Saccharomyces cerevisiae S288C: one gene and its partners. Changing the gene in region 2 together with the main gene of any one other region gives a genetic interaction. Each region holds a gene or a part of one and is shown on either strand. Other genes may lie near its edges. The genes, in order: RAD9, DPB11 and DOT1.

Region 1 (3,600 bases), on a different chromosome or scaffold from region 2:
AATCAAAGCTACATCCAAAGACTCTGTGCCATCTTGTTTATCTGAATTGCATTCTTTATTATCATCATGAAGCTGAAGTGAGTTCCCCTTGCTTTTTTTTATCTCCATTAAAGTTTCTTCCTCGACTACCAGCTTTTTTGGAGACGTTTGAAGATCTTGCTGCTCTTCAACTTCAGGCAGTTCTTGGGTTAGTTCAACCTCGCTCATGATTGTACTTTCCTTTTTCGTATCAAGCTCATTTGGGGACATACGTTCTGTTTCATCACTTCCTGAATCAGATATTTGCTTTCCTGAAAGTTGTAAGTATATTCTATCGGTTATTTCCTTTTGTTCGTTGAAATCAGATGAACCGGCTATGATAATGTCATCTCTGGTAGCTGCATTTGAAGAATTTTGTATATCGTTTGAAAAAACATTGTTTGTCTCTACTTCTCTCTCGTGTATATTAAATGTATCTTTTTCCTTCGGAATAGGTGAAGAATTCGAGGGTTTTGACATCGTATTCTTAGATGGTGAACTAGTCTCAGGAACTTCCAATATGGGTTCAAAATTAATCCGAGAAAGAGTAACGGGAGTTTCAAAGGTTGCATTCAAAGCATTTTGTTCAGGAGAATTTATTATTTGGGTTTTTATTTCTTCTGTCTGGCCAGTAGAATGAAAAACAGGTCCCTTCTGAGCAGATATGCCTTGGGAAAGCGATGAAACAATTATCTGTGTCTCTAATTCATTATTTGTTTCGGTATTGAAACTTTTAGATAAGGGTTGCGTATCGATTGAAATACTATCTAAAGGCATTTCCTGTGTTCTTGGATTATTGACTATTTGCGTAGATCTATTGCTATTATTTTCCGTTTTGTCTTTTGAGTATCGGAATATCCACTTCTTGGATGGTTCCCGATTGTTTACACTCTCACTGGAATACATTTCTTCTTCCGCATTGTTGCGTGAAGGGGTGCCAGACACAGCACTATTAATATCGATATCTAAATTGTTCACGTCATTCTCTCTACCCGAAACATTCAGATTCTTTTCCAATTCGTTAATCTCCTCTGATTCATTACTTTGTATTATTTGATTGTTCCGTTCTCTGAGATCATCTGATGAATAGTTCTCACTTTTCTTTTTTACTGGATTTTTTTCCTCGATAGCTCCTATGTTATCTTCGTTATTGTTAAAAACCTTGTTTACATTTCTTGTGGTCCGGCCATTCCCGGTAATTTTGTTCTTGTCATAAGAGCTTATCGAATTAGGTGATTCTGCTGATATCATGATTTGAGTTTTTTGAACTCGTTCATCTTGCATTCCTCCACTTTTACTTAATTCGTCTTTATATCTTTTAGGTGTAACAATTCCTTCCAATGCACAGTCATAATTATCAGCAGAACGTTCAGCCATCTGTACAAAAGTGGCATCCGCCTCTGTAACTTCTAATGACGCATTTTCTTCTCCATCATTCTGCTCTCCATAATAGCAAAACCCAGTATCTGACTTCAACTTTTTGAAGGTTTTCTGTTCCAATGGATCAGTTGGAGTTTGAAAAGTCATTTTTTTTCTTAACATCAGAGGAGTGTCTTCCAGATCGGAGCTTTGATATTTGGTCAAAAGATTTTCTTTACCAGGGGTTCGATTGCTTTTGAAAAAGTTAGCAATTCGGTCAAGGTCAGGAGTCCTTTCATTATGCAATATGTTAGCATTTGGTCGATCATTATCTCCTACTTCAATATTTAACTCATCATCATGTCTTGGACTCTCGTCAAGTAATCCCAGAGATTTTTGAAATATCTCACTTGTATTCATAAACTTGACAGGATTTGGATTTGCTTTGGGACTTCCTTCGATTATGTTTGTGCTATTTACCTTGTTTTCCAACGGATCAACGGGAACATTCATTTCGTTCATGTCGCCATCAGCCAAGGGAGAATGCAGTGCTTCCTTTATAGCGCTTTGGGTGACTCGATCTGGAGAGCTTTTCCATTGAACTAACTGGCCTGACATAGCCCTGATGTTGAAGATTTTCTCACTATGCTCTTTTCTATGGCGTTTCTCTATCTTGCTCACTTCACATTGCTCATCGTTGCAAATATCCACGAACAAAAATCCTCGCGTGTTTAATCAGAACTGCACTCTGAAAATTCAAAGCCGTGCCAGTAATAAGAAAGACACAAGGTTATATAGAGACACATCGAGAAAGTATATTATAGATTAAAAAAATTTTGCCTTATACTTTAGTGCACTTGAAAAAGCAATAAAATTTTATTTCATATGTATCTAACGCTAACAAGGCCGTATATTTATTTAGACCTTATTTTGATGGGGAGCTGCCAACATTTTCTCCAATAAATCAATCTTCCTTTGATAGTCTTCAATAATTCTGTTTTTTTCGTCTATTTCTTTGTGTATTTGATAAGCATTTTCATCGTTTGTATCTGGATTCCCAAGTGTTCTACTTGCACTATTTCTTCTGGTGGAAACATTGCTGACACTTCCCCTTGAGGTTTCGTCGATATAGCTATAGTTTGGAATATCATAGTTGTTTTTCTTCTCAGTTAACACTTTAGCCCTATAATTTTCATACAATACGTTGTTTGTTACATCTTTTAATTCCTGAAGGTGAGAACCTAACAGTATTGCTTTTAAGTATATAAAATCGGAGGTGTTTTGGTCTTCGACCACCAAGCTACCCCATTCGTACGTTCTGATATGCTCAACCCTATTTTCCGAATTTTTATTAAAAGTTTTGCTGCAAACAATGGCAAATGGCGATATTTCCTTGATCTTCGTGTCATTATCGTATTTGGATTTTGCTGAACTGGAATCGATGTCCATATCGTACAGAGCTAATGTTTCGCCTAGGGTGTCACTTTTAAAATCAAAAACACGTATATTGTTCTGAGAGATTTCTTGGCGCACAATGTCTTTGTGTAAATTTAATTCAGTTTCTGTGAGACCATCGGCTTTTGGAATAATGGGAATTAAATTAACTTTATCACAAATCGTTTTCATTAACTCAATATCAAATTTTTTGACTCCTCTTGGAGTACTCTTCAGAAAGTATAAACAAACATGAGGCCTCCCATCAGTTTCTTTTGTGTTTCTCTTTATTCTGACCTCTTCTTTTAAAACATTTGCAAACTGTTGGTCTAAGTAGTTTTTTATAACAACAGAGCTTTGTGAATTGTCGACATTGTCACCGCAGCCTGGAAACAATATGATATCTAATGTTATGGGTACGCCTAGTTCATCGTTCAAATACACTCTTCTGGTGACAAGCTTCAGCCCAGGACTCAAATGGGCTGTTTTATATCCAGGATCTATATCTTCGATGGCGTTTCCATTTTCTGGTGTTACATTATTTGTCACTTTATCATCATCATCATCATAATCCCCATCAGAAAGCGATATATCCTGACCGCACAGATTGTTTAAAAACGTTGATTTGCCGCTGCCTTTTTCTCCAAGTAACAAAATTGACAACTGCAGTCCTTTCTTGTAACCCTTGCGACGTCTTAACTCATCTCTGCTGAGAGTATGTTGTTCAAGAGCTGAGTGATCTTTCATTGGGAACATTTGATTATTTACTGACTTTATGTACGTATAGTA
Region 2 (3,839 bases):
CAAGATTGAATTATTTTGAAAATCTTTTCTGTTATTATCACCAGGATCATCATTATTGTTATTAATGCAAAACTGAGTAAAAAGATCGCTAAATTCATTCGACCATAACGGATGGGTTTTCGGGATACTGGGTAAAGCTGCTAAGTTGATTAGCAGAATGTCAGTGGATTTATTGAGGTATTCTACATAATTGATGCCCATTGGTTTTAGAAGATTTAATACTTTAGTCAGATGTAACAGCTCTACGCCAGAGAATCCAGTGATAGTAACATTCAGAAAAGGGGAAGAAGAAAATTCATGATGCAATAACTTTGAAGAAGACGAAACTTGAAACTCTATTGTGCTGAGGAAGGGTTTTGACCATAAATCTATTGGGTGTAGTAATTTTTGATAATACAAGCAGCGTTCAATGAAAAATTCTGTAACTATACCATCATTATCATCTATAATCTCAGGTAAATCATTGAAGGAGTCAAGAGCTTTATTACTTGGAATGATGTAATAAGAATGATCGTAAATGCCGCTCAAGTAAGACGTCTCAATTTTACCCCCATTTTGAACAACAATTTTGGTTAGTATTGAACGGTGATTGCCAGGAAAAATATGATGAATGATAAACGCACAATTTTTGAAAATCAAAGTACTATTATCACTTAAATCTTCTTGTTTGTTATTTATCGATAATGGTGACTGCCCTAGTACTGAAAAATTTGTCTTACTATGCTGCTGTAGAGACATTGCCTTGTCCCATATTTTTTCACCCTTTGGTTTAAATTTATTCAAGAGGGATGATGTTTTCGGGAGCGAAGGAGTCAGGGTACTGGAGGATTGCTGCCGCTGCAGAGAGGATTGGGCATCGATATTGGTTGGAAAGGTGGTGTTTATTTTATCCCAGCAATCGCAAGAGTTTGATCCGATTGAATCATAGGGCAGGTCTTTAATATTTGGTAAAAGATAATAGGGATCGTACGGTAACAGTGCGCTTCTTTTTTGGCAATCGAGAATCCATTTGAAATGTACAATAGGTATATTTTGTTCAATAGCAGCGTTAACTCTTGCTCCTAGTAAAGTATCCGTAACAAAAATGGATATCTGCCCATTCTGACCTTGATCATCGTCATCATTGTGTGAAGAGGTATCTTTGATTACAAAGTTTTGATAGTTATAACTAGAACACCCTAACTTTTTAATACTCCTAACCAATGAATCGATGGAAGTTATGTTAGTGTCGGTTATTCTGCCAATGAAGATATTGAAGTTATGCAAATATTTAAACGAAAATCGCCGGTAAAGTATCTTCAGCATCTCATAGGTGGATCCTGTCATTGTTGCCGTATTAGAGTCCGGCAATATATTTTCTCCAGACAGCCAGAGCTGATAAATGTCATCAATGGCTTGAATGTCAATAAATATGATATCGAATCTATGCTTCACCGCAAATTTAAATTTGTTTGTATTGGTGGTGGACCCAACAACAAGGACATTAACTTGTCTGGTCAAATCTTTAGAAAATATACCTCCTAACTTAATAATTTTCTTTGATATTTTTTTAGCTAAGATTTCATTATTTATTGCAGTCGGACAAAATGTTATTCCTTGAAAGGGCTTCATAGTAATATTAATGCTACTGATAAAATACCTGCCATACTAGAAATAGAAGACTTATATATCACGTAAAATTTGTCTCTTCTTATTCATCATGTACATAAAACAGTACAAACATTACCAATAGTACTATATAGCTTTACCAGGCAATACGCGAATAGTCCATGCAGTTTTTCTTCTCTTATACTGATGAGGGTAAGTTTTGCATTTGATCACCGCCGTATGCGAAGCGGAAAGAGCAAATGCGTTGAAAGAAACCTGGCGACAATAGGAACCACGAGTTCAAGCTAATAATGATACCTCAATGATTATGCCCAGATTACGTTATGTGACTAAAGTAGAAAGGTGAATAAATATAAGTAACGAAACAAGGTTACATGGACTCTTCAATTAAAGAAGGAAAAGGAAGGATTCTTTTGCAGGCAGAAAACATTGAAGTTATATCGCAACAATAACGATGTAGTTATTATGACCTCATAATATGAGAACTTTTTCCTCAAGTATTTTTAAGTTATTCTGTGTGTCATGACTCTCACTTCGTCATATTTTATGTTAGTGCACAAAATGCGAGGTGTGGGTGCAATCAAGACTCCGATCCATTTTCGCCGTTCGACCGGTGTTTTGGCGGCTAAATTTAAGGGCGTGATCTCAGAACTCGGCGGCAAAAAAAAAAGTATATAAGGCAGAAAGCTTTCTGCCTCTCCGATTTCCTCTCCTTTGTTTTCTTTTCCGCTTCAATTTACAATCTAGTTCAGCGGCTAATCCTCTTTACCATTGTTTTCCGTTTATCCTTTGCTCATTCTCCTTTGCTCGATTTCTTTTGCTCGTTTTTTTTTTTTTTTTTTGCTTCTTTTTTTCTTCTCGCTACTCTGAATAGACGATGGCCAAGAGGAAATATGGCAGGTCTTATTCCCTCGATGATACAGATTCCTGCAGCAATAAAGTCCTGATAGTACCAACCGGTCAAAGCTCCTCTAACGCAATCACTGATTTCTCTGTCAGAAAGGCGCATGCTTGCGATAGATGCAGACTGAAAAAAATCAAGTGTGACGGTTTAAAACCGAACTGTTCAAACTGTGCGAAAATTGACTTCCCTTGCAAAACCTCGGATAAACTGTCGAGGAGAGGTCTTCCAAAGGGGTATACAGAACTACTAGAAAAAGAGGTCGTCCGTTTGACAAATATGAATGCGAGTTCCAGCGCCAATGCAAATTCTAATTTGCCGTTCATTAATGATACATTTTATTGTTTTGATAATTACAACACTCAGTCTGAAAATCAAAGGTTTTTGGGACATTTGACATGGAATATTCTAACTAATACTTTTCCTACTCAAAAAGCAGTAGTTTTTACAGACGATCGAAATAATATTGATCTACAACTGCAACTGTTAACAAATTTTTTGAACCTGAATGGTGACTTTAATCATCTCCCAAATTTTCTTTTACTTAAATATGATTATAACCTTCAGTTTTTGAAAAATTTGTTGTCTGTCATTATTAAAGATTTTTTTAAAAGGCAAAATTCTTTGCTACTTCTATTATACCCTACAAATTTATGGAAAAATTTGCTATTAGACAAGATTAATTCAACCGCAATGACAGGTGAACCCATAACTCTACTGGCGTTACTTTATATTATTCAATTTACTTGGTCTTGTTTTGATGATTTCAAGCTTTTTAAAGTCACGAAGCTTATTGTTTCTCTGACAACAAACAGCAAATTAGACTTGAAAGTTTTGCAATTGGTTAACTTATCCATCTTTTATTTTATGGGCGCCTCTGTTGACTCTTGTAAAAGTAAAAGCTCGTTAACAGAACATTCAAATGTAAATTCAGTAATATGGACCAATGATTTGCTAAACCTAAACTTTACAAATATTTTGAATATGGGATTGTACATAAATCCCAAAAATTTAATTCCTATATCAGGCAACAATAATAATAATAAATCTAATGAAGAGGATGATAGAATAGTGACATTTTGGTGCTTTCAATTCTTAAGCTCATGGTGGTCCTTAATTCAAGGTTTACCAAAGTCCAACTTTTTAACTGAAGAATTTCAACCGAAATCAATCTCGGTTCTAGAAATCCCCAGGCTGAAGCCCTTTGAAATTTTGTTAAACTTCATCATATATTCTTTGGATGGATGTAATTTGTTGAATATCTCATCTTTAAATGTTTCGGACCCAAATTTCCAATTTTTCCAGAATGAACTGGAAAGCTTTAAAAAAA
Region 3 (3,839 bases), on a different chromosome or scaffold from region 2:
CTGGAATATGACTTTGTGCTAGTGTTAGATAGTCTACATGGTGAGGAGAAATTATCTGCTCCTATTTTTTCCATATTGCACTCCTGATTTAAATTTGTTCTCTGCCTCCTCCTTCAATTATTTTCCTTTCCTTCGCATATTGCTACTTTTTAGCTTGAACTTCTTTTGTTAATATAAACTGGTACTTTACTTTTTAGGTACCTGGTCCACGGCGCCTTATCCTTCTTTTAATTCATATTATTACCTACTCTTATTCTCTCCCTTTCTATTTTTTTATTTTTTGATTTTTATAAGTTACACTTGTGTACATGTTATTTCTACTTAGTTATTCATACTCATCGTTAAAAGCCGTTCAAAGTGCCTCATCTGGTATACTTCACCGGCGTACCTCTGTTCCTCCTACCTCTTGCAGCAGGGCTGAATAAACTTTCGTCCACATCCTCCATCACTGTTGATATATAATACTCTCCGCCACTATGCGTCCATGAAACACTATCCTCCTTAAGATCATACCTTTGCACCTTTAATCTATTGAAGATGTTCTCAACATTGTAGAAGTTGATCTGATAAGTGAGGCTTCTTAAACTTTTCAAACTTATGATCTTACATCCAACTTTTGCCGTTTGTAGTATCTTTTCGACTTTTTTATTCAAATCTTCATCAAATAAAAAATTATTTACGAGGATAACATCGCACTGAGGAATTAGTTCAGCGACCCTGTTATTGTCCACAAAGCTTTTCTTCAATGAAAACTCCACGTTGTTCAAACGCATCCCATATAACTTACACCTCTTCTTTAGTTCCTCGTACTGCAGTATAGTTAAATCGCTAGCATCATCCATGATTTCACATCCGAAGCTTAATGCACATCCACATTCCAACGCAGCTTGTACTACGCAATTACCTACTCCCGAACCGAGATCCATGAAAGTGTCACCCTTCTTCAACTGGCATTGTTGATATACATCAGATAGGAAATTGGGCAAAAGTTCTCCATAAACATAATTGCTGAATGCTTTGTAATGTTTCAATTTATTCGCCTGCGGATGGATACTCCTGGTATAGACGATATGCAAGAAGTCATGAATGAATGAACGAGGAATTTTATCAATTGTTTCTAAATGGTCAATTATTCTTTGCCTAGGAATTTCACGAATCATTTTGTTGTATAAATTTATAGCATTCACGAAACCTTTCGTGTCAGAGTTATCAAATGATGCATTTAGGTCCGGTAGTATAGTTTCCTTCAATTGTTCAGCATAAGGTGAAGGTAAAAAGACCAGGCAGCTGTATTCAATTAATTTACCAATTTCACTCATTGGATTATAAATGGCTGTTGACCTTTTGAAGTCGACTTTGTACTCTTCCATATAATTTGAAAATAAAATACTCTGCAACTTTGCTGTCGTTACTGAGGAAGTGTCGTTATCTGATGTCAAGCTCGTTGGCTGTGGAGAATTTGTTCTTAAACTAATGGATTGTATAGGAGTTCCAGAATATATTTCATGTGATCTTAAGTACTCTATGTCAAATAATGGATATTGTAACCGTAGACACGGGCCATTCCAATCAACAAATGTTGATGAAGGACTATCGCGATCATTCTTCTTGTTTGCCCGACCTTTTTTCAATGGCTTTTTTTCTCGTGCAGTATCTATTTCTTGCTTTGAAATTGGGGTATGTTTATGGTTAGTCCTGCCATTTTTTCCTTTTACTTTTGCAGCTTTTGGCTTCTTTACATCCTTCTTCGTGGTGGTAGATGACTTCTTCCTTGTGTTTCTATTATTGGTTTTCTTGTGAATGGGAGGTATAACCTTCTCCACCAGCGGAACCAACCCATTATCCTTACCCTTGGTGTTTCTATCTCTTAAAAATCCTCGAGGTAAAGATGACCCATATATTGGATCGTATTTATTAGCTTCTTCTAATAAATTTTGTACTTGCTTAGAGAGAAGCGTACCTTTAGAATAGCTTGAAAGCGACTTGGTTTGCATATCGGTGCCTTTCTTCTCATCAATAGGTGATATTGAAGATTCCTGAGAGTCTAAGTTGGGGGACGACATAATGAATGAGTCTGAGTTATTATTTGATATACTTTCTTGACCGCCCATTACTGTACAACAAAATGTAACCAAAGCGCACAATTACTGGTGACCTCCTTGATGAGGACCTCAGTTATTTTTCAAGGCAATTAAGACGACGAGATGCCCTATATTCGAATTATGTTTATCTCATTGAAAGCACTTACCGGTCGATTTTTCAATGTCCCTTTTCATTGACGCGTGCGAAGGCGTCAGCAGGATTATGCATATATTGCTAAAAAAAATGGCACGTAAATCATTACTTAGTTTCTGGCTTGTTATACTATTGTGAAGTAAGTGTCTAAATTCAAGAACAGAAAAACAAAGAAAGTCACTCTACGGTCTTTAGCCGTAACATTTTTTCACTACAGAGAAAATTCATGCCAGAGCTCTTTCATCCATAAAAAGAGGCGACGACGCTTTCGACTCTGAAAATACAAGCTTTCATTGGAAACAATGTAGCGAAGCAGCTGACATTGGAATGCACTAACAGAAACTAGACAGACAGGTAAATGCCACACCATTAGGGAATATGTTTATTCCATCCTCTAGTTTTCTGGCAACAAATAAGATAAGGCGGTTTAATTACGTGAAAAAATCCTACCTACGGGTATTCACCGCTTCTTTCTCAAAGGATTTCTAGGAACTTGATTCGATCTCCAAGAGTACATCCTGGAATTTTATTAATAAAGCAGACTTCACTATCTATGACTACTTTTCAGATTCAAGTATGCCTATTCAAGTAGGAAAAATTCTCTTGCAGAAGAACGGCCAGTTATGGAAAGGGTAGAATTTATCGCTAATTTAGTAAGAATTGGAGAGAAGAAGTGACCGGGTGGCGATATTCTGTTTATTGTAGCACATTCACAAGGGGGGGGGGGAGTATCCCGTTCTTCAGTGTTCCTGTTGTCGTATTTAATATCGAATGGCATAATTCAATTGGATAAAGAAAGAAATGTTTTTAACTAAAAGATAGATTCATTAACAAAGCTTACAAGAAGCGCATGGCCTTCACTCGAATTGTTTAAAAACAAAGTGGTCAAATTATTCCAAAATCTTGAAAGACTCCCGTTCCTTGAGTTATTTGAGTTTCAAAGTTACATTTCTGAATTATCCCAACAGTTCTCAACAAGCTGGATGTTCTGGTTAATAGAGGTGTCAAAATTTCCAAGATTGGCTCATTGAACGATCAAGTGATGCTTTTTATTCTTCATCGTGGACTTTAGTGCAACATCCAAATATTATTTAGAGCGTTATATGTGCCTGGTGGATAACTTCAATATCCAATCTTTCTTCTTCATGTTATTAAATTATCAGTAAATTAATTAATTTAGAATACTCTGACTGTACCACGATGAAGGAACTGACTCAATTTTTTATGGGACCAATTTTAAGTGTTGGTTTCTATTTTTTACGAAGACAATAAAGTTTACAAAACGGGGATAACGTTTACGATAACGTTTACGATAACTTTTACGCTGGCAACATTGGGCACGCAAGGAAAACAACAAAATGTCAGAGCTACATAATTCAAAATGAATAAGGTTTGGTAGAAATTCATTTAATTTCCCTTGGTGCATAAAAGGCTCATCGAAGAGACTAGACTACACTTATTATGTGAATAGTTGAAACAGCCGTATCAAGAATACAACAATTGGGTACCTCAAACAGCCAAATGGAGAGACTTGAAAATATAAGCTGAGCGGCCTGAGGCAGTATTTATGGTAATTTATATAAAAAAAAATGCTAAACTGTTGG

What was found.
Region 1: mutations in DPB11 (region 2) and RAD9 impair growth when combined (synthetic growth defect), as found in Saccharomyces cerevisiae (6 studies listed by BioGRID, with this or other methods).
Region 3: mutations in DPB11 (region 2) and DOT1 impair growth when combined (synthetic growth defect), as found in Saccharomyces cerevisiae (3 studies listed by BioGRID, with this or other methods).

Annotation. Positions count from the first base shown.
Region 1 is NC_001136.10:901,486-905,085, forward strand, and holds the start of RAD9 (chromatin-binding protein RAD9), read right to left. Parts: upstream 1,996-3,600; coding exon 1-1,995. Other genes in the region: septin SPR28, read right to left, coding at 2,296-3,567. UniProt on the Saccharomyces cerevisiae protein: Essential for cell cycle arrest at the G2 stage following DNA damage by X-irradiation or inactivation of DNA ligase.
Region 2 is NC_001142.9:263,441-267,279, forward strand, and holds the start of DPB11 (protein kinase activating protein DPB11), read right to left. Parts: upstream 1,612-3,839; coding exon 1-1,611. Other genes in the region: SIP4 (Sip4p), read left to right, coding at 2,486-3,839. UniProt on the Saccharomyces cerevisiae protein: Has a role in the initiation of DNA replication. Required at S-phase checkpoint. Required for the association of PSF1 with origins. Also required for the proper activation of RAD53 in response to DNA damage and replication blocks.
Region 3 is NC_001136.10:1,340,765-1,344,603, reverse strand, and holds DOT1 (histone methyltransferase DOT1), read right to left. Parts: upstream 2,112-3,839; coding exon 363-2,111; downstream 1-362. Other genes in the region: adenine phosphoribosyltransferase APT2, read left to right, coding at 1-87. UniProt on the Saccharomyces cerevisiae protein: Histone methyltransferase that specifically trimethylates histone H3 to form H3K79me3.